Arabidopsis thaliana: one gene and its partners. The protein of the gene in region 1 interacts with the protein of each later gene in a biochemical or structural test. Each region holds a gene or a part of one and is shown on either strand. Other genes may lie near its edges.

Region 1 (3,946 bases):
TGAAAACTGGTGGTGGTATGGGTTATAGCAGTAATCCGAGTGGTTTTTCTGGTGGTTACACGAGCTCCGGTGGTTTTAATGCTAATCTTGGAGGTCCTTCAATGAAAAATATGGCTGGGGGCAATCTAAATGGGTCTGGTCTTCCTTCGAATAGTGATCCATTTGGTTCTTTGGTTGGTTTCGGATCAAAATCATCAGGAAGCAAACCAGGAAAGGTTAACAACAATGCACAGAATGATACTTTTGGGAATTTTCAAGGAGTGTCGAACCTTAACAGTGGCGGTTCTACGGGAACAACTACTCAAATCAACGACTTTGGGGGTTTCCAGGCTTCGAAATCAAACACATTCTCATCAGGAGGTAGCTTCAATGCTTCAAACGTTGATTTTGGTGTGCAACCAAGTGGTCCACAATCTTCGAGTGCAAACGATGATCCATTAGGAATGTTCTCTAATTCCAAACCCTCAGCTGCACCACCTACGCCACAGACCGAAGATTGGGGATTTGAAAGTTTTGACGGTGGGGCTGGTTCCACCACCGAGCTTGATGGTTTGCCACCGCCTCCACCGGGTGTATCAGCTACATCAGCTAAGAACAAGGGCATTGATAACCAGAGACAAGGTCAGTATGCTGATGCCATAAAGTGGCTCTCTTGGGCTGTGATTCTTATGGATAGAGCTGGTGATGAAGCTGGATCAGCCGAGGTTCTTTCAACAAGGGCTTCGTGTTACAAAGAAGTTGGAGAGTATAAGAAAGCTGTAGCCGACTGCACAAAGGTATGTTAAGAAAGGCACATTTTTCTTTGGATGCATCATGGACCATGGTTCATATCATTCTCATCTCAGATCCTTAGTTTACGAAGTCTCTAGTTGTATTGGAATCAGTTTAAGGACTCTTGATGAAATTGATACTGATAAGAGTTTTCAGGTATATGAAACTTGACAATATGAGATTTAGGTTCTTATGGAATCTTAAGATAGATTACGAGTTAGAAATACTGTGCACGTATAGAAAGTTTTAGTGTCTTGCTTTGTAGGAAAATATACCACAACTAAACAGTTCTTGGGATCGCGTCATCGTAGCTAGTTGATTGGTTGTTATGCTCCATAGATGGTTTCTTGTAGACTCAGAACAAAACCAACATCTTCGAAACTTGTTCTGATTGTCAGTTATGCTTCACAGATGTTTTTTGTTCACTTTGAAAACGTGATTGCAGGTACTTGATCACGACAAGAAGAATGTGACCATTCTGGTTCAACGAGCACTGTTATACGAGAGCATGGAGAAATACAAACTCGGAGCTGAAGACCTAAGGATGGTTCTAAAGATTGATCCCGGGAATAGAATCGCTAGAAGTACTGTTCACCGCCTAACCAAAATGGCTGGTTGATCCTTCATATATACGGATACTACTCAAAGAAAAAAAACAAAAAACCCTCAAATATCTATAATCCTTCACATTGCTTTGCTCAATACCGTTTCCTCTCTCATCCATGGACCATGCGTGTGTGTATTTTTTTTCTGAGATTTATTGGTTCGTCTATAATGCGGCAGCTTCTTGTAGTAAGTGGGTCATGAGTGTATTTTTTTGGATGGTGCATTTATATGTTGTTGATTTTCTTACACACTAATTTTTTTTGAGTTTATCATGAAATGTTTGATCATCGATGTCATATGAAATGCCAAAGATGACCGTAAATTTCGCATCGTAACTCGCAAAGATGAACCTTACTTTGAGACGCTGCCTGCGTGATGGACGTGAGACGCATAACGCATACTATTAAATTACCAGACGCTCGTGGACACAACACTTCAATACCGAAAACTAAACTAATCACATTGTGATACGTTTTGTATTCAGAGAGCCAAAAAAAGGCTTACAATTTTGTCGTTATGTGGATTAGCCTTCAATTTGTTGTAACCGTCATGTATCAAGGAACATAAAACTATTAGAATTATTATTCTAATATAAAGTAATTCATTTCACTCACACTTTATTACCATAAAACATTTATTTTGCGCCTATAAAGGCATTTCAGCTCCACCGTAGGAAACTTTCTCTTGAAAGAAACCCACAGCAACAAACAGAGAAAATGTGTGGCGGTGCTATTATTTCCGATTATGCCCCTCTCGTCACCAAGGCCAAGGGCCGTAAACTCACGGCTGAGGAACTCTGGTCAGAGCTCGATGCTTCCGCCGCCGACGACTTCTGGGGTTTCTATTCCACCTCCAAACTCCATCCCACCAACCAAGGTATGTACTCTCCTATTAATCATAAACAAAAATACAAAATCATTCAAAAACACAAACATATAGTTTTTTCTAACCTTTTTAGCAAAAAGGTAAAATAATATTTCTGGAACTTACGGAAGATGATAAAAAAAAAATATTTGTGGTTTTGGTAATGTAATTTATCAGGATTATTTAATTATCTGTGTGGGGTTAAAATTGTAAATTTTGAACTTTGGGGAATCCGGTGAAAATTTTGAAGTTAACGTGAAAGAGGAGGCAGTGAAGAAGGAGCAGGCAACAGAGCCGGGGAAACGGAGGAAGAGGAAGAATGTTTATAGAGGGATACGTAAGCGTCCATGGGGAAAATGGGCGGCTGAGATTCGAGATCCACGAAAAGGTGTTAGAGTTTGGCTTGGTACGTTCAACACGGCGGAGGAAGCTGCCATGGCTTATGATGTTGCGGCCAAGCAGATCCGTGGTGATAAAGCCAAGCTCAACTTCCCAGATCTGCACCATCCTCCTCCTCCTAATTATACTCCTCCGCCGTCATCGCCACGATCAACCGATCAGCCTCCGGCGAAGAAGGTCTGCGTTGTCTCTCAGAGTGAGAGCGAGTTAAGTCAGCCGAGTTTCCCGGTGGAGTGTATAGGATTTGGAAATGGGGACGAGTTTCAGAACCTGAGTTACGGATTTGAGCCGGATTATGATCTGAAACAGCAGATATCGAGCTTGGAATCGTTCCTTGAGCTGGACGGTAACACGGCGGAGCAACCGAGTCAGCTTGATGAGTCCGTTTCCGAGGTGGATATGTGGATGCTTGATGATGTCATTGCGTCGTATGAGTAAAAGAAAAAAAATAAGTTTAAAAAAAGTTAAATAAAGTCTGTAATATATATGTAACCGCCGTTACTTTTAAAAGGTTTTTACCGTCGCATTGGACTGCTGATGATGTCTGTTGTGTAATGTGTAGAATGTGACCAAATGGACGTTATATTACGGTTTGTGGTATTATTAGTTTCTTAGATGGAAAAACTTACATGTGTAAATAAGATTTGTAATGTAAGACGAAGTACTTATAACTTCTTAACTGTTTTGTGGTAGTCCTGATTCCTGAAACTAATGGGAATTAGTTTGTATATCAAACAGGGGTTCCTAACTTGTTATTATTAGGTTAGGTGGAATAATTCTAGGGTTTTTATTGACAAAAATTAACAAATAGTGGTTTTTATGGAAAAAGGTGATGGTACCAGTATAGTGGGAATACACAGAAGAATTTGCAGCCTTTCTCAATTCTTATACGTATAATTCTCGTATGTCTATGAAAAGGGTTATACGTATGATGATTTATGAGTAGTGAGTACATACATCTTTTTCACTACTTTACATGTAATATTTATGGAAAAGGTCTGATCCGTTTGCTCTATCGAGAATTGGAATTGTGAGATATCTTGATTTTAACAGTTTCAAGATTAATGAAGAACAAAAACAATGGCAACAACTTACAAATTAACATTCGGAAGAAAGAAAAAAACTTACAAGTGAGATCAAATTTGGATTTAGTATTTTAGATGTAAGTTACAAATATTTCATAAACTAATAATCTATTAAAAAAAAATTATTCATTGTATTTTACTTTATACCGTAACCTAAACAATAAAATACAAATTTATAATTGAAGGATTTTAATTGTTTAAATTACTCTTTCTACCATATT
Region 2 (8,062 bases), 4.1 Mb from region 1:
CTCTCACTGTGGTAGCAGAAGCAGAAGGATCCGCTAAAACTTCACCTTCTTCTAGCTCACTTTCTATCACCAGCGCTGGAGGCTTGAGCTTACTCACACAAACATCCACTAGGTGACCCCACTTACTACAACAAGTGCATTTGGGAGGCAACCAGGGGTAAATAAACTCCACGATAACATCTTTTTCCTCCTCAATTTTGAACCTGTGACACTTTGGAACGTCTTGCGAAAGATTTACTTCAACAAAAACTTTAGCTTCATCAAACTTTGTGCATAATTCTGTTTCAGGATGTAACCGTATTGGATTTCCTACTGAACTTGTAATAAAACTCAAACCATCCCAGGAGAACATGGAATGAGGAACATTCTTCACTGTGACCCACAACGGCATTGTTTTAATCTCTGGCTGGGCTTCTTCTTTAATCGGAGACCACTTGGCAACAATCATTGGTAAACCAGCAATGTTCCACATCCCTCTTCTGACTATTCTCGAACGCGTGGCGGAGTCACGGATTCGAAACTTTACTGAAGTAGAGTCTATCTCATAGACGTCAATCTTAATTGCTTTGTCCCCAAGAGTCCAGATCTTATTGACTATGACATGGATCTTAGCGACATGCGGAGCTTGTGATGGGAACCGTCCCACCAGAAAATCATCCCAGAGAGGGACAGATTCAGTGATAACTTCTTTCGGAACTGCAATGGTTGGGACACCGTCTTGCACAGAGACTTCATATTCATCTTTTTTCAGAGAAGGCCGTTTAGTAACTACTGCTGCATAGGACTTTTGCTGGACAGATCCAGATGGAGAACCAACTGTTCCTGCCTCAGAAGAGACTGGTAAAACCTGGTCGGACATGAGAAACCGACGGCAAGCCGCCGCTGAAACCCTAGCTTGCTGAAAAAGAATGAAAACCCTAGTCGCCAAGAAAATCGCCCTAGAGCTGACGTGTCATTAAAAAAAAAAAACATCATTCTTATAGTAGAAACATTTGATTGTTCTGTGGTAACTGGTAACGACTAAGTGATATGGTTTACTAGATCTTGCAAACAAATCTAATTGATCATGAGAAAAAATTGTAAGACTAGATCGATTATTTTAGTGGTCTAACAACTAGTTTCAAAGTTGTAATTTTCAAGATTGTTTATTACATTTAGTACATGTTTGAAGTGAAACAATATATCTCAATGTAAGTACATGATTCTCTTTACTACTTTGAATCTATCACAGAAGTTAGTGCAGACACCCGATTCGCTATGATTGTTAAGATCATAAAGTGACCTAGATCGATGAGCATCAATGTTTTTTTTTTTCTTTTGCCAATAAGCATCAATGTTTTCTTGACGAGCAATTGTCATTTTATTTCAAGAAGCGGAATCTGTTTTATGAAAGTGTTTATTGTTTACGATATAGAATCGAAGCGTTTGGAGGGCCAAAAGAAGTAGGAGAGGCAATAGTAAGAACAGTGACAGGATCTGGTCAACGAGCAGATTTGAAAGGAACTTTGCTAGAATCAAGTATCAGACAAGATTCAGAGAGAAACTTGAAGTACTACGAGTTGGAGTTTAAAGTCGAATCACCTCTTTTCCGGCGGCATAATGTAGCCGTTTGTTGCGCTCACAGTGGCCGGCTTTATACACTGAACGCTCAAGCGCCAGAGTCAGCTTGGTCAGAGGTGAAATCGGAAATTTACACTACTGCGAAATCGTTCAATATAATTTCTTGAATGTAAAGGATCGGAAAACAAATTGTAAAAACCCAAAAAGAAACAAGATACTACAAAGCAAAGCTTATTTTTTCTTCATATTGATAGGGTCTCTTTGTTTTTCTTAATTAATTCACACTATTGAGTTGATTACGATGATTAAGGTCAAAAATACGAAGTGACAATAAAAAGAGAAAAGTTTCGAGCATAATCATGTCTTCTTGATCGTGCCGCTCGCTATATAAACACTGCACCAAGCAATTACTATAATTTTTGATCAATTAAATATTAAATTTTGAGAATATGTTTCTATATTAATGAAAATAATTTAAAGTAATCATAAGTTTGTATCTTTGAACAAACGAAACTAGAAAACGCCTATCTCTGCTCATTGGCTTCTCCATCTCCGATCAAATCCGCGGTCGTAGTCAGAGAGAGAGACAAATGGCTATGCCTAGGGCAACCTCTGGTCCCGCTTACCCGGAGAGGTTCTACGCTGCTGCATCTTATGTCGGTCTCGACGGATCTGATTCGTCGGCGAAAAACGTCATCTCGAAATTCCCCGATGATACTGCACTACTTCTCTATGCGCTATACCAGCAGGTCAGCAACTTCCATTTCTGATCTCTTCCATTGTTGATCTCACGATTGTGGATTTTGCTTTTGAATTTCACGAGATCTGGTCGTTTGGGTGTTGATTTCTTTGTTTTAGTCACCGATTCATATTCCTCTCGCCGAATTCTTATCGGATTTTAGAAATGACGCACTTTACTTGTCTGATTAGCTGTGCTTGATCGTTATTTTCGATCCTGGTTAGTATATTCGAAATGCTCAGTAAAATGTTACCCGAGATCTCATCACGATTTGATTGGAAACATGATTGAAACAGTTTTATTTTATTAGATCTCAGGGAGCGTTGGTCCGTCAGTCGTAGTTTACTTGGATCTACATTGATTCTATAACTTGATTAGTATAGTCGTAGATGAATTTCTTACGAGGGGGTGAAACTGGCTGTTCCTTAACATAGAGAGAAACGTTCTCTTGTACTAATTATAATGTCGAGTCTACTAGTTTTTATCCCTGGGATAGATAGGCTCAGTGCTGATGATCTCTTGGATTTAACATTGAAACAGGCTACTGTAGGACCATGCAACACTCCGAAACCTAGTGCCTGGAGACCAGTGGAGCAAAGCAAATGGAAAAGGTTAGATTGGGTGCTGTGTTTTGCCCATACTTATCTACGATTAACATTTATGCATTTATCACTGGTTCTTTTATTTCTATTCTTGCGTTTGTGAATCATACTTGTAGGAATATGCTTCATGGTAGATATTAATAGGAGATGTCTTAGATTTCATCAATTACTAGAGCGTAAGAATCCAAATGCATTAGGGAAACGGGAAAGGAGTACTTTAGTGTAAGCTACTAGAGGAAAATAGAAATGCAGGATTTGAATGTGCATCCCTGGGGAAAAAAACTAAGTGCTTACCTATGTTTTGGACCTTTTGGTCTACATTACTGAGGTTGTTAATGCTTACGATCCTTTTTAAAGGAAAATAAGACTTTAAAGTTGTCCTCGTTCCTTTCCTGAAAGATACACATGCTACTGTTCTGAAGCATTTCATATTTACTTAGTTGGCAGGGGCTCGGAACCATGCCCTCCATTGAGGCAATGCGTCTCTTTGTGAAAATTCTGGAGGTAACCGACAAAGAGGTCTATTTTTTTTTTTTTTTTAAAGACTTAACTGGAGCATAACCTTGCTTTCTTCTCTATTGCTCAATTTTTATCAGGAAGATGATCCTGGTTGGTATTCGAGGGCATCTAATGATATTCCAGATCCTGTTGTAGATGTCCAAATTAATGTAAGTTTTGGTATCCCATGGGATTCGATGTCCAAACCATGGGAACTATTACACATATCTTTTGCTTGATTGAAGAAAATTATTTGAGTTTTTTAGTGCATTCATCTTTGTAGCAGAGAGCAAAAGATGAGCCTGTTGTTGAGAATGGGAGCACATTTAGTGAGACAAAAACAATTTCTACGGAGAATGGACGTTTGGCTGAAACCCAAGATAAAGATGTAGTCTCAGAAGACTCAAATACTGTTTCTGTATATAACCAGTGGACTGCACCCCAAACATCAGGTCAGCGTCCAAAAGCTCGTTACGAGGTAATTTATTTTTTCTCTCTCTTTTGAAGAATAAGTAAAAGGTTATGTCATTCATGTATCTTCTGTATTTTTCTAAGTCTTGTTTATTATATTTTTTTCAGCATGGCGCAGCAGTTATTCAAGATAAGATGTATATATATGGTGGAAATCACAATGGCCGTTACCTTGGTGATCTTCATGTAAGCAACCTCTATGGTTTATAAGCATAAGCTCCTAATGTAATTGAGATATTCAGCTCCTAGCTTGACAATACCAGTCCCGGTGACAGTTCCTAAGCAAAGCTTCTGTGGAATGTATACAGGTTCTAGATTTAAAAAGTTGGACTTGGTCAAGAGTTGAAACCAAGGTTGCAACAGAATCTCAGGAAACATCAACTCCGACATTGTTAGCTCCTTGTGCTGGTCATTCTTTGGTAAGTTTATTAACTTTTTCGTTTTGTTTTTGTTATTATCGTTTTGCTTTCCTGCCCAGAAATATTCAGGAGAGGGGTTTCAGCTAAAGCAAAGTATTCTCTTCATGAAAGTCACTTGCTATATTAGTTTGTAATAAAGAAGACTCTAGCTATACATTATTCACTTACCTTCTTTGCTTGTTTTGTAGATAGCATGGGACAACAAGCTGCTGTCTATCGGTGGTCACACAAAGGATCCCTCAGAATCTATGCAAGGTTAGCGTTTATATACCTTTGAAGACGATAATTTGCACATATTTATAAGATTTTTCTGGAATCTCAATGATTACATATCACTTTCTACTGTTTCCTGTCACAGTGAAGGTCTTTGATCCCCATACCATTACATGGTCAATGTTAAAGACATATGGAAAACCACCGGTATATCTTCACTTCTCTCATGTTGTCTCATTTGCTTTCCTGTCACCTTTGTATGAAAATATTACAGTTTTATACAAAAAAAAATTTGGCCGTCAAAAGACAAAAAAATAAAAGTTGTTTTCTTTCCTTACCCTCCCATAATATCTTCAGGGTTAAGGTGCATCTAAATCCAGAATTTCTCCTTGCTAATTTGGAAGTCAAATATGCATTTTGGTTACTTAAATTTAGACTTTCTTATAATTATCTCTTGCTTTTAGGTTTCACGTGGAGGCCAGTCAGTTACAATGGTGGGTAAAACCTTGGTGATATTTGGCGGGCAAGATGCAAAGAGATCACTTCTGAACGATTTGCATATACTTGACCTAGACACGATGACCTGGGATGAGATAGATGCCGTGTAAGATTTTATGATGTTTCTGCATTTTGTTCTCTTTCGAAGAAGTCAAACCCATTTAAGATTAGATATATAACCAGAATATGAATATGTTAGAAATCGACCTCCTATCTCCTTTAGTATCTTAGTCGTTATTGAAAGATTAGCAATTCAGGATTTAAATTGGTGTCAAATTGCAGGGGTGTATCTCCATCTCCGAGGTCTGATCATGCTGCTGCAGTGCATGCAGAACGGTTCCTTCTTATCTTTGGTGGCGGCTCACATGCAACCTGTTTCGATGACCTGCATGTCCTTGATTTGCAAACTGTAAGTTAAGCTAAGAGTCTATTCTTTCAGCTGCTCTCAAACATGCTTTGTCAGCCTCTGATATAATTGTCACATATAGATGGAGTGGTCAAGACCAGCACAGCAAGGTGATGCACCAACTCCAAGAGCTGGACATGCTGGCGTGACAATTGGGGAGAACTGGTTTATTGTTGGTGGCGGTGATAACAAGAGTGGTATGTTAATGCACTTTTCCCTTGGAAATTTTCTCTTCCCAACCGTTCTGTTTATCACCCCCTAGAACAAAAGATATTTGCTTGGGTTTTTTTTTTTGTGTGTGTGGGGTGACTAATTTTGTGACAAATTACTGCAGGGGCATCGGAGAGTGTTGTACTAAACATGTCAACTCTTGCATGGTCGGTCGTTGCTTCAGTTCAAGGACGTGTACCTCTTGCTAGCGAGGTACTTAAATAAACAGACTTTATCCATATTAATTCCCAGATAGCTATACAAATAAACACGGTAGAAGCCTTTTCAAGACTTCGAAAAAAGTCAAGTCATGCTTATTTCATTTCCATCGTCCTTTCCTTTGCTACTGACAGGGATTAAGTTTAGTGGTGAGTTCATACAATGGTGAAGATGTACTAGTCGCTTTTGGTGGATACAATGGACGTTACAATAACGAAGTAGGGACTGTGATCTGAACCCATAAGTTCATTTCTCTTAATTTTTCATTTAGTTCTGCTTCTAATTCTTATCTGGCATTAGATTAATCTTCTTAAACCAAGCCACAAATCAACATTGCAAACAAAGACTCTGGAAGCGCCTTTGCCAGGTAGTCTTTCTGCTGTTAATAATGCCACAACCAGAGACATTGAGTCTGAGGTTGAGGTGAGCCAAGAAGGCAGGGTACGGGAAATTGTCATGGACAATGTTAACCCTGGATCAAAGGTATCTTCTTGTCAAATTTCCCTCCTTAATATATTTTGCATAGCACCACCTTTTGATTTGTTTGAGAGAATTGAAGCATCTTATGCATATATGCTGTGGTAGTGATTGTGTCGACACAGAATATAGTTACTCCAGTCCGGATCATCACCTTCTCGCACTCTTATTATGTTTTGGGTGATTAATCCCCAGGTTGAAGGAAACAGCGAACGCATTATTGCGACTATTAAATCTGAGAAGGAAGAGCTGGAGGCATCACTGAACAAAGAGAGGATGCAGACTCTCCAACTAAGGCAAGAGTTAGGAGAAGCAGAATTACGAAACACAGATTTGTACAAGGTACTAATATTATCACCTTCTTAAAACAGAAGCCGACATGAATAAATTGGTGAACCAATCGTTCATAAAGACTGGTTGCAGCAGTCTTCCAATTGCATTCACATTTAACATCTGAAATCTCGGAATTTTTCCTCGAATATGATATACCTAACTTTGTACTGACATTTTGTAGGAACTTCAATCTGTTCGTGGCCAACTTGCAGCCGAACAATCAAGGTGTTTCAAACTGGAGGTACTAAACCGTAGCCACATCTCTTTTGTACCATAACCTACAGAATTTGGAATCTCGTGAAACCCGTGATTTAATGACTACATATACTCATATTCCAGGATGAATAGGAATCTTGATTAGAACATTCATCCATTGTAACCACTGGATCTATCACATATCTTCTCTGTCATTTATTGATAAGCTTCATCACGTCATAAGAACAAAAACAAAGCAAATCTAATTGGGTCACTTTCTCCGAATCTGCAGGTTGATGTTGCAGAGCTAAGACAAAAGCTTCAAACATTGGAAACACTACAGAAGGAACTCGAACTCCTGCAACGTCAAAAGGCTGCCTCAGAACAAGCTGCAATGAACGCTAAACGACAGGGCTCGGGTGGCGTATGGGGCTGGCTCGCTGGAAGCCCTCAGGAAAAAGATGATGATTCGCCTTGATCATTTTTGGTCCGGTAATGCCATTTTCCTCCGGACGATATTTGCTTTCAGTAAAGAAATATATATAGTTTTTTTTGTCTGAGTCTCTCGCATTGTTTCTTCTTCCAATAAGATATTTTTTTAGCGAGCTTTGATTACTACCGATGTTTAGCTTTGTTCTCTGTTATACAAGTGATTCACCAGAATATTCGTTAACTTTTTTGAAATATTTGTTTTGGGAGTGTCTGACAAAATTATGAAAACTAAATCAGTTTACGATCAGCAATCATAATTTTCTTATATTTACGAGTCTCTTACTCTCTTCACTCTTTAGTCTTCGTTTGCATTAAAAATTAAATTAAATTTACCTCACTTCGTAAGTGGACAAAAAATCACGTTTTAGGCAGCAAAATAAAATAAAATAAAAAGATCACGTTTTTTTGTCCCATGACGTGGCAACCTATTACTGGATGGGAAGTTCGACCGTTCACCATCACCATTTATGACGCTGAGAAGTTACCAAAATGTCCTTCTCACCAAGTGATGCTTTTGTCATCTTCTCCAGCTTTACTCTCATGAAATTTCTTAAATTTTCTCTTCCAGCAAACAATCTCAGGATTTAAACAAAGTTACGCATCTTCTGGCTTCGAGTTGTTTCTAGGGTTTCATTGTTATGAAAGCTCTTTAACACCGAGGGTTCAAGTGTGGTTAGAGAGAAATGAATTCGGCTGAGGTGAATGTGAATCCTAGGGTTTTTGGTGATAG
Region 3 (7,716 bases), on another chromosome or scaffold:
TGGGTCAAATCAAAGTAGAACTACTGTTCCTCTGGTTGTAGAATCCTCACCTTTTCCCGTTACAGATATTTGTACCACAAGTTTCTACAACATAATGTAATAATTTCTCCTGTTCACTCTCTATCTCCTTCCTGTATGTATGTATACTTCTATACCTTAAGAACCGAACTGACTCAAACATGGAGACATAAGAGATTCAATTAACAATTTGAACAAAGCTTTTACATTCGTGTTTAAGGTACATTCTGTCTTAAACCCCAACCTGATTATCACTTCTTCATTAAAACCTGCTTCTGGAAAAAATCTTTGAGCCATAAGGGCATATGATACATGACTGCCATGAGGGTTGAATACCTGCCTGACGAGAACCAAGCGGGTGGATTCTTCTTCAGCACTGCGGCTACAGTGTCTCTGGCAAATGTTTCTGCAGGAGTTGGATTCATCCTCTGTGATATAAACGCCCTTTCTCTGATAGCTTCTTCATAAGGCTTGTATAGTTTCAGCTCAGGCATTTTGTTGAAAGTTGCCACAGCTGAGTTTGCTATGTTTGTTCTTATTCCTCCCGGGACAACATTGATGACATCAATCCCAAACGGACGAAGCTCCAACCTGACGTTAAGCAGGAAACATTACAAAACAATTGACAAACCAAAACCATCCGGTGCTGGATAATTTGAACAACTACACTTGTCATGAACATCAAGAATCATCAACCTAACCCAACATCAGACTTTAGTCCTCAGAAATAATGATACTCAAGTTTGATCACACCTTAAAAAAAGATTAGACCATTTCAACAATTTTTAGTTTACTACCATCAAATCTCCATTGACAGAACAAACAGAATATATATCAGCATGCGACATAGGAAGATTATTCAAACGACACAAATAGCGGCGTTTGATAAGTTAAAACAGTGGAACCAAATCTGAAAACGGTAAAAGCAAACCTCAGAGTATCGGTAAGAGCATGAATAGCAGCTTTGGTAGCTGTATAGACACCAGCCCATGGACCAGGTGCCATAACAGTGATACTTCCAACGTTGACAATCTTTCCCTTTTTCTTAGACACCATGTGTGGTACAACAGCTTGAGTCATCCTCATGGAACCTGCATTGAAAAATTCACTTCTTCAAAACTCTCCTAACAGCCCAAACGCAACACACATGATCAACACGTATTTGAGTTCCTTGAATGTCCACAGAATCAACATTTGAAATGGATTGTAAATTCCAATGATTCACTAATAAGCAAAAAAACCAGAACTGTTGAAGCTCCAATAAATGTAATAATTGAAACTAAAAATCAAATCTTTATTACCAAAAACATTGGTGTTGAATGTGTTTTCCATGGCGGAAATTGGAGTCTCCGCCAGAGGTCCAACGCACTGAACTCCGGCGTTATTAACAAGAACGTCGATCTTACCGAACTTATCAATAACCTCCGACAAAACCTTACTCACATTCTGGTCCGATTGCACATCAAGCTCCTTCACGAATAACCTCGAATCTTGCTCCAGATCCGTCATCGTACTCCGTGATCGACTCGTCGCCACCACTCGACATCCCTTCTCAGTGAACTCACGGGCCAGCGCGTGACCAATTCCTCCCTGAGAACATCCCGTAATTAGAACCACCGGACTCTCATCGCCACTCTCCATTTTAGAGTTCCGTGGAACAACAACAATGGAATTTTTTTTTTTGTGCAAACCAACAAATTTCAGAGATTAATTAATGCATCGGATTAGGCTTAATTACTACGATGATTTGTTTTTTCTTACTACGACACCGTTTCCATTAACTTACAAGAAACTGTACTTAAAAACTAACCCAAAAGAGTATAAAACCAAAGCTTGTAGAACTCGAAACTTAAAGCAACATGCCCTCTGGTGATTAGAGAAGCAAATGAAAGTAACATCATGCCTAAACTAGATTTCCAGCATGAGGTTCAAACGTGACTTATAGTACAAGGATGAAACATAGTTAAGCAGAAAAAAGCCACTAGAAACCGCCACAGCAAACTGAGATTTAGCTTCAAATTTCCTCATCAGACTTTCAATCTTCTTCTCCTCAATCCCAAACATCATCAACCACCCAACCTCCGCTGTATTCGATGCTTTCTCTGCCGTTGTATTCACCTTTTGGTTACATTCATCTGCCACTAATATTGCTATGTCCGCCGATGAATCCATTGTTGGATCTTCCTATATCAGTTGTCTGTCTCCAATTCTATGCCAAAGATACACGAAGCTATTTATACTGGCTTCAGTGTGCGGGTTTTGAATGAGGAATGTTCCACTTTCTTTTTATGTTAATCATATCACATTACTTTCTATTGGCTTTGATGGTTTCTTTAAAGAGAAAATTGGCTAGGTTGGTTTATTGATACCGTGTGTGCACCAATACTTGTTTTAGTTACAGACAATGGTTTTAAAAACCTCGATTAGTCGGCATTGTCCAAATAATATTATACTTTTTGTGAAATCATTTTATTCCTCATTATCGAAACCCAAATCTGTTCAAAACACTTTATTGGGCCATAAATTATTATTTCTCAATCTTATGTTACAAGCCCAATTTTATATAAACTTACTTACAGCCCATTTCTCGACATTTTCAGTTTTTGACAAAAAAACTTTTTGGTTTCAAATTAAATCTTTCTTCTCTTTGTGGGCTTTCAAAACTGATGGGGATGCTCTTACAACTCATGATTTTTTGTTTCGGGGGATCAGGAAATGATAGGTCTCGTTCCACGACGATTTTAATAATCTTCTTTTAGATTATCTATCTTTTACTTCAACCAAAATTACTATTAGACGAAAGATGTTGACCAGAATACGTATTTTATTTTTGATAAATATTCAGCTTTTATATAATATAGTAGAAGAAAAGAGTAAAGTAAAAGAAGAAGATAAAATGTAGTCAAAGGTAGGAACCAAAAGGAAAGAGAAGAAAAGGAAGTTAATCTTAACATGATGATAGTTCCCATTTTGTCTTGGGGATAATGTCGCAAAGACTTCCTCAATTTTCTTACTTTCTTCCTATTTTACGTTCTTTTTCTTTTGTTTCTAGAAAGACATATATCTTTATTTGATATATTATATTCATATGAAATTTAGAAAGAATGTAAGATATATATATATATATATATATAATGAGTATTTAGAAAGTAAGTTACTTCGATTAATTAATCAACTTGGCTATAAAAACTATTATGAGTCAAATGTACATATGAACAATCTACTCAATTGGCTACTTCACAAATCTATCTATTTGTTTCAAGAAAATCCTTGCAATGAAATTCATCGAATAAAAACATCATACCTTTACACCTATTTAGTGGATAAGTGTGATCTACTTCTACAGTTGCACTGCCTTCTTTTGTTCCTTTTCACGTCAAACACACTCACATTTGAGCATACATAAATAGAAACAACAATATCTCTAAAACATTACTTAAAAAACTTTCAAGTTTGCTTCGATTTACCTGGCATTCGTATCCTTTTTATCCCTTCGTCCAAAACATTTTTCCAAATGTCGAGTGGCTCGGGACCAAATCCCAAAACATTTTGTCATTCTTAACTTTTCAAATAATCTAAAAAGTTTTATGGGAAATTAAGGATTATCCGCCAACTACGGATTGTCTTGACTAGGTTCTTCCATATTATATAGTCAAAATTCGGAAAAAATCAAGCTTTTTCGAAAGATTTCCGGTGCCGAAAAAACAGTTGATAATTAAAGTCCATGTTTGTAAATTCGAATGACATTAAAAATGTATAACTTATCGTCTCAGCTTTTGCTTCAAAATGGGAACAATATTGAACCACACTACATTTAACTGGGTGTTAACACGCCAACATAAATCACTTTCATATAAAATGTTTTATCTTTGGTGTACTATTTATCGTTCACGAATGATTGGCTCTACGTTCAGGCACTCAATCATATATAGAATCCTTTCTATAATATTTTATAAATTAAACAAAACTAAAAGATAATATCTTTTAGAATGTAGAAGTCGAGTTAAATATTACAGGGTTCGTGAAAACTCAAAGATTGAATTCAAGACATGAATATTGTTAGCCAAAAATACAAATGAAAAAAGAAGAGTGACGACACCCACTCTTAGTGGCAAACCACTTTTTTTTAATAAGATAGCACTTGGGAAGAATTCCACAAATAGGTAAAAGCAAAGAGTTTGTGCGTCATGTCTCATTAATATCTTTTCGAATTTATTTATTTTCATTGTTAATGTTTTTTGTATTCTAATACTGTTAATACATTATTCATATTTTGAAAAAATTGTGTCGACATAGGACTCTTCCCTCAATGACGTCTTCATTCATAGCCTTCTTTCTTTTGTTTGCTAAATGACTTCACTCACAGCCCTTAATCATATGGAAAAGAAAAAATTATGTGTGAATATGTCAGGAAACTAATTACTGCCAGGCAAACAATGTAATACGTGAACAAGAATAATATACGTATGAATGTATGATAACATACTAAAGGAAAAGGGAAAGTTGGTTAGATACTGTTTACACGGAAAAATGCACCAAATCACATAAATTAGTTAGTATTCGTTGTGTTTAAAATAATTAGTAAAGAGGCAAGTGGATAGAAGTTGTGGTCACCCAACACAAATATGTCTCCGACTCCAATGCAAGTTGAAGAGCCAATCTGTTCTAAATCAAAAATAATTCAATATTTCTTTATCAGCTAAGTGATTCCTTCGCAAAGGTTCGTTTATCTTTTTCAGTATATAAATATTATCAAATAGTACAACAAGACGTATATGTGAATCTTTTTCGTTGGCATAACCTGGATATAAACTATACCTAAATGCAGGCCTGCCTAAATGTTGATATAATTTTATTATATAAGCGTTGCTTAGTAAGTTGAAAACTTTAAAGATTACATGCTTATCGGTCTCTTGTTTTGCTTATAGAGAAACCTCAATATTATTGTTCTCTTATATATATTGGGTAATCTTAACCCAATATTTGGTCAGCATGCTATAGAACTATCAAAACTAATGACTACGCGCATCTTATTTTTTTATTTTGACGTCAGGCTTGCGATTATGTCAAGTACTTTGTTTTGATTGATGTCTTATAAATCCCAACATAGAAGTTAGAAAGTTTAACCGCTTCTCTCATTCCCGCGACAAATCTTACCACAATAATATGATTTAGTAATTTACCCTCTTCCCACGCGCTACTAAGCCGCGCGTGTGCCGTCAATTGGCACGTCATCACCGACGAGACTCGCCGCAAACTTTGACGTGTGATGGATAATAAATATATCGTTGGAAAACTTAAAAGAGTATGAATTATTATTACTGAATAATTTTCCAATATACTTGGTGTGTAACATCAGCGAGGTAGTGGAGACATGACAAATGAGAGAAATACAGAATAACCAGAAACAAAATTAAATTAGTAATCGAATAAATTATGGACTTAAAGGTATCTTAAACATGTCAAAATTTGGTTTTTGACTGTGTAGCTGATGTATCTAGTACATATACTTAAAGGACAAATATCACCGAAGAATCAACAAACCAAAAAAAAAAACAGAAATAAATGTTAGTATATATATTTTTATTGACATTTATTAGGATATAGAAAAATTTAGAAAACTCAATCAAAGGTCTCTCTTTTAAAGTTGTCGTGTTCTCTCTTGAATGATTCTTCTTCTCCTTCTTCGAGATGACAAGTTCAGAGAACGAGATTTTACCATCCCTTATTCTATCAGACCGGTTTAAGCTGCAGATTTCTAGGCTTAGCGTTCGATTTCGTCGCTGAAAGTGAAAAGTTCATCTAGCTTTAGTTTTCTCTTTTCATGGTTTCCGCGGGAAAAGTTCGTCTTTTTTGAAGCCCTTTTGACACAAAAGACCAGAACAAGGTTCGACTTCGGATCTCTCTTCTTTCTGAATTTTCATCTCTTGGTTGATATGAATATCATTATCTCTGCTTGACTGCAAAAAAAGGTTCAAACTTTGTGTTTCTCTGTTTCATTCTCTTATTGAAGCTGTAACTTTTATTCTGATGGTTGCTTCTGATATACCATTTCATGATTTGCTATGTGATAATTTGGTTCTATATCTTATAATCGAATCTTGACTTTTATAACAAGAATGTTATATCAAATCACTGGGTGAGAGTAATGGATTTTTTTTCCTTATTGGGAGGTGTTTAAGATGGTCCACCATTAGTGGCTAAAAGAAGAAGATACAGTAGGAACCAATAACTGACAATGACATTAGAGTTTGGTCTGTTTTTGGAAATGCAATTAGAGGTTTTGAGAACAAAATTCAGTGACTTGTATCTATTTGACAACCTTTCAAAAGACACTAGTAAAAGAACAGGGCTTTTCGGGTGTATATGATGACTCCGATGTTTCGCCATATCAATGGAGCTTATAGATGTAGGGAAGGTAGTAGCTAGCGTTGACGAATTGGGTGATGGATAATGACTTAATGTCACAACCTTTGCTTTTGGCTGCAAATCACTTACATATCTCTTTAACTTGTGATCTTGTATCTTTTGCAATTCTTGACTTTGATGAATGAAGTTTTGTATTTTTTTTTTTTTGTTTTGTTGCTAGTTGAAGAAATATGAATACAACCTCGACACATTTTGTTCCACCGAGAAGGTTTGAAGTTTACGAGCCTCTCAACCAAATCGGTATGTGGGAAGAAAGTTTCAAGAACAATGGAGACATGTATACGCCTGGCTCTATCATAATCCCGACTAACGAAAAACCAGACAGCTTGGTACTTCAAAGTTTGCTATATATTTCAGATAAAGTGAATTCAGAAACTAATGCTTGCTTTAATCTTTGTTCAGTCAGAGGATACTTCTCATGGGACAGAAGGAACTCCTCACAAGTTTGACCAAGAGGCTTCCACATCTAGACATCCTGATAAGGTAAGTTATAATATAGCTCATTTGGTTATCTTAATTCCTTGAAGATTTTGTCATTTTAATCTTTATGTCTTCACAGATACAGAGAAGGCTAGCACAGAATCGAGAGGCAGCTAGGAAAAGTCGTTTGCGCAAGAAAGTATGAAACTTTATGTTCCTGCAACTCGTAAAACAGTTTTGTTTTCTTTAAACTGAGCTATAGAGTATTTTCTTGCAGGCTTATGTTCAGCAGCTAGAGACTAGCCGGTTAAAGCTAATTCATTTAGAGCAAGAACTCGATCGTGCTAGACAACAGGTTTGCACAAAATATTATTCTTCCTTAAGTATCTTGTTGATGTAATAATATATGATCATAATGTTGCAGGGTTTCTATGTGGGGAACGGAGTAGATACCAATGCTCTTAGTTTCTCAGATAACATGAGCTCAGGTTTGAGTCTTCTTTCACCTTTAGCGTTTAGGTAGTTTCCATTTGATTTTGAGATTCATCAGTTTTCTTTTTCTTGTTAGGGATTGTTGCATTTGAGATGGAATATGGACATTGGGTGGAAGAACAGAACAGGCAAATATGTGAACTAAGAACGGTTTTACATGGACAAGTTAGTGATATAGAGCTTCGTTCTCTAGTCGAGAATGCCATGAAACATTACTTTCAACTCTTCCGAATGAAGTCAGCCGCTGCAAAAATCGATGTTTTCTATGTCATGTCCGGAATGTGGAAAACTTCAGCAGAGCGGTTTTTCTTGTGGATAGGCGGATTTAGACCCTCAGAGCTTCTCAAGGTAATAGAA

The links.
Region 2: the proteins of EBP (region 1) and ACBP4 form a complex in vitro, tested with the Arabidopsis thaliana proteins (one study listed by BioGRID).
Region 3: the proteins of EBP (region 1) and TGA4 form a complex in vitro, tested with the Arabidopsis thaliana proteins (one study listed by BioGRID).

Annotation. Positions count from the first base shown.
Region 1 is NC_003074.8:5,703,691-5,707,636, forward strand, and holds EBP (ethylene-responsive element binding protein), read left to right. Parts: upstream 1-1,850; 5' UTR 1,851-2,093; coding exon 2,094-2,253; intron 2,254-2,491; coding exon 2,492-3,078; 3' UTR 3,079-3,394; downstream 3,395-3,946. Other genes in the region: AT3G16760 (Tetratricopeptide repeat (TPR)-like superfamily protein), read left to right, coding at 1-776, 1,217-1,390.
Region 2 is NC_003074.8:1,559,730-1,567,791, forward strand, and holds ACBP4 (acyl-CoA binding protein 4), read left to right. Parts: upstream 1-1,941; 5' UTR 1,942-2,150; coding exon 2,151-2,309; intron 2,310-2,839; coding exon 2,840-2,910; intron 2,911-3,341; coding exon 3,342-3,405; intron 3,406-3,497; coding exon 3,498-3,569; intron 3,570-3,682; coding exon 3,683-3,877; intron 3,878-3,978; coding exon 3,979-4,056; intron 4,057-4,178; coding exon 4,179-4,289; intron 4,290-4,477; coding exon 4,478-4,544; intron 4,545-4,647; coding exon 4,648-4,709; intron 4,710-4,966; coding exon 4,967-5,106; intron 5,107-5,282; coding exon 5,283-5,409; intron 5,410-5,488; coding exon 5,489-5,603; intron 5,604-5,740; coding exon 5,741-5,829; intron 5,830-5,969; coding exon 5,970-6,053; intron 6,054-6,135; coding exon 6,136-6,318; intron 6,319-6,507; coding exon 6,508-6,654; intron 6,655-6,826; coding exon 6,827-6,886; intron 6,887-7,132; coding exon 7,133-7,318; 3' UTR 7,319-7,607; downstream 7,608-8,062. Other genes in the region: AT3G05410 (Photosystem II reaction center PsbP family protein), read left to right, coding at 1,415-1,727; AT3G05425 (uncharacterized protein), read left to right, coding at 7,745-7,876; AT3G05430 (Tudor/PWWP/MBT superfamily protein), read left to right, coding at 8,016-8,062. UniProt on the Arabidopsis thaliana protein: Binds medium- and long-chain acyl-CoA esters with very high affinity. Can interact in vitro with oleoyl-CoA, barely with palmitoyl-CoA, but not with arachidonyl-CoA. May function as an intracellular carrier of acyl-CoA esters.
Region 3 is NC_003076.8:3,138,197-3,145,912, reverse strand, and holds the start of TGA4 (TGACG motif-binding factor 4), read left to right. Parts: upstream 1-1,659; 5' UTR 1,660-1,701; exon of another isoform or gene 1,702-1,713; intron 1,714-1,755; exon of another isoform or gene 1,756-1,926; coding exon of another isoform or gene 1,927-2,190; intron 2,191-5,403; exon of another isoform or gene 5,404-6,574; 5' UTR 6,575-6,617; coding exon 6,618-6,776; intron 6,777-6,849; coding exon 6,850-6,930; intron 6,931-7,006; coding exon 7,007-7,066; intron 7,067-7,144; coding exon 7,145-7,222; intron 7,223-7,291; coding exon 7,292-7,355; intron 7,356-7,435; coding exon 7,436-7,707; intron 7,708-7,716. Other genes in the region: AT5G10050 (NAD(P)-binding Rossmann-fold superfamily protein), read right to left, coding at 270-609, 950-1,109, 1,320-1,659; AT5G10040 (uncharacterized protein), read right to left, coding at 1,927-2,190.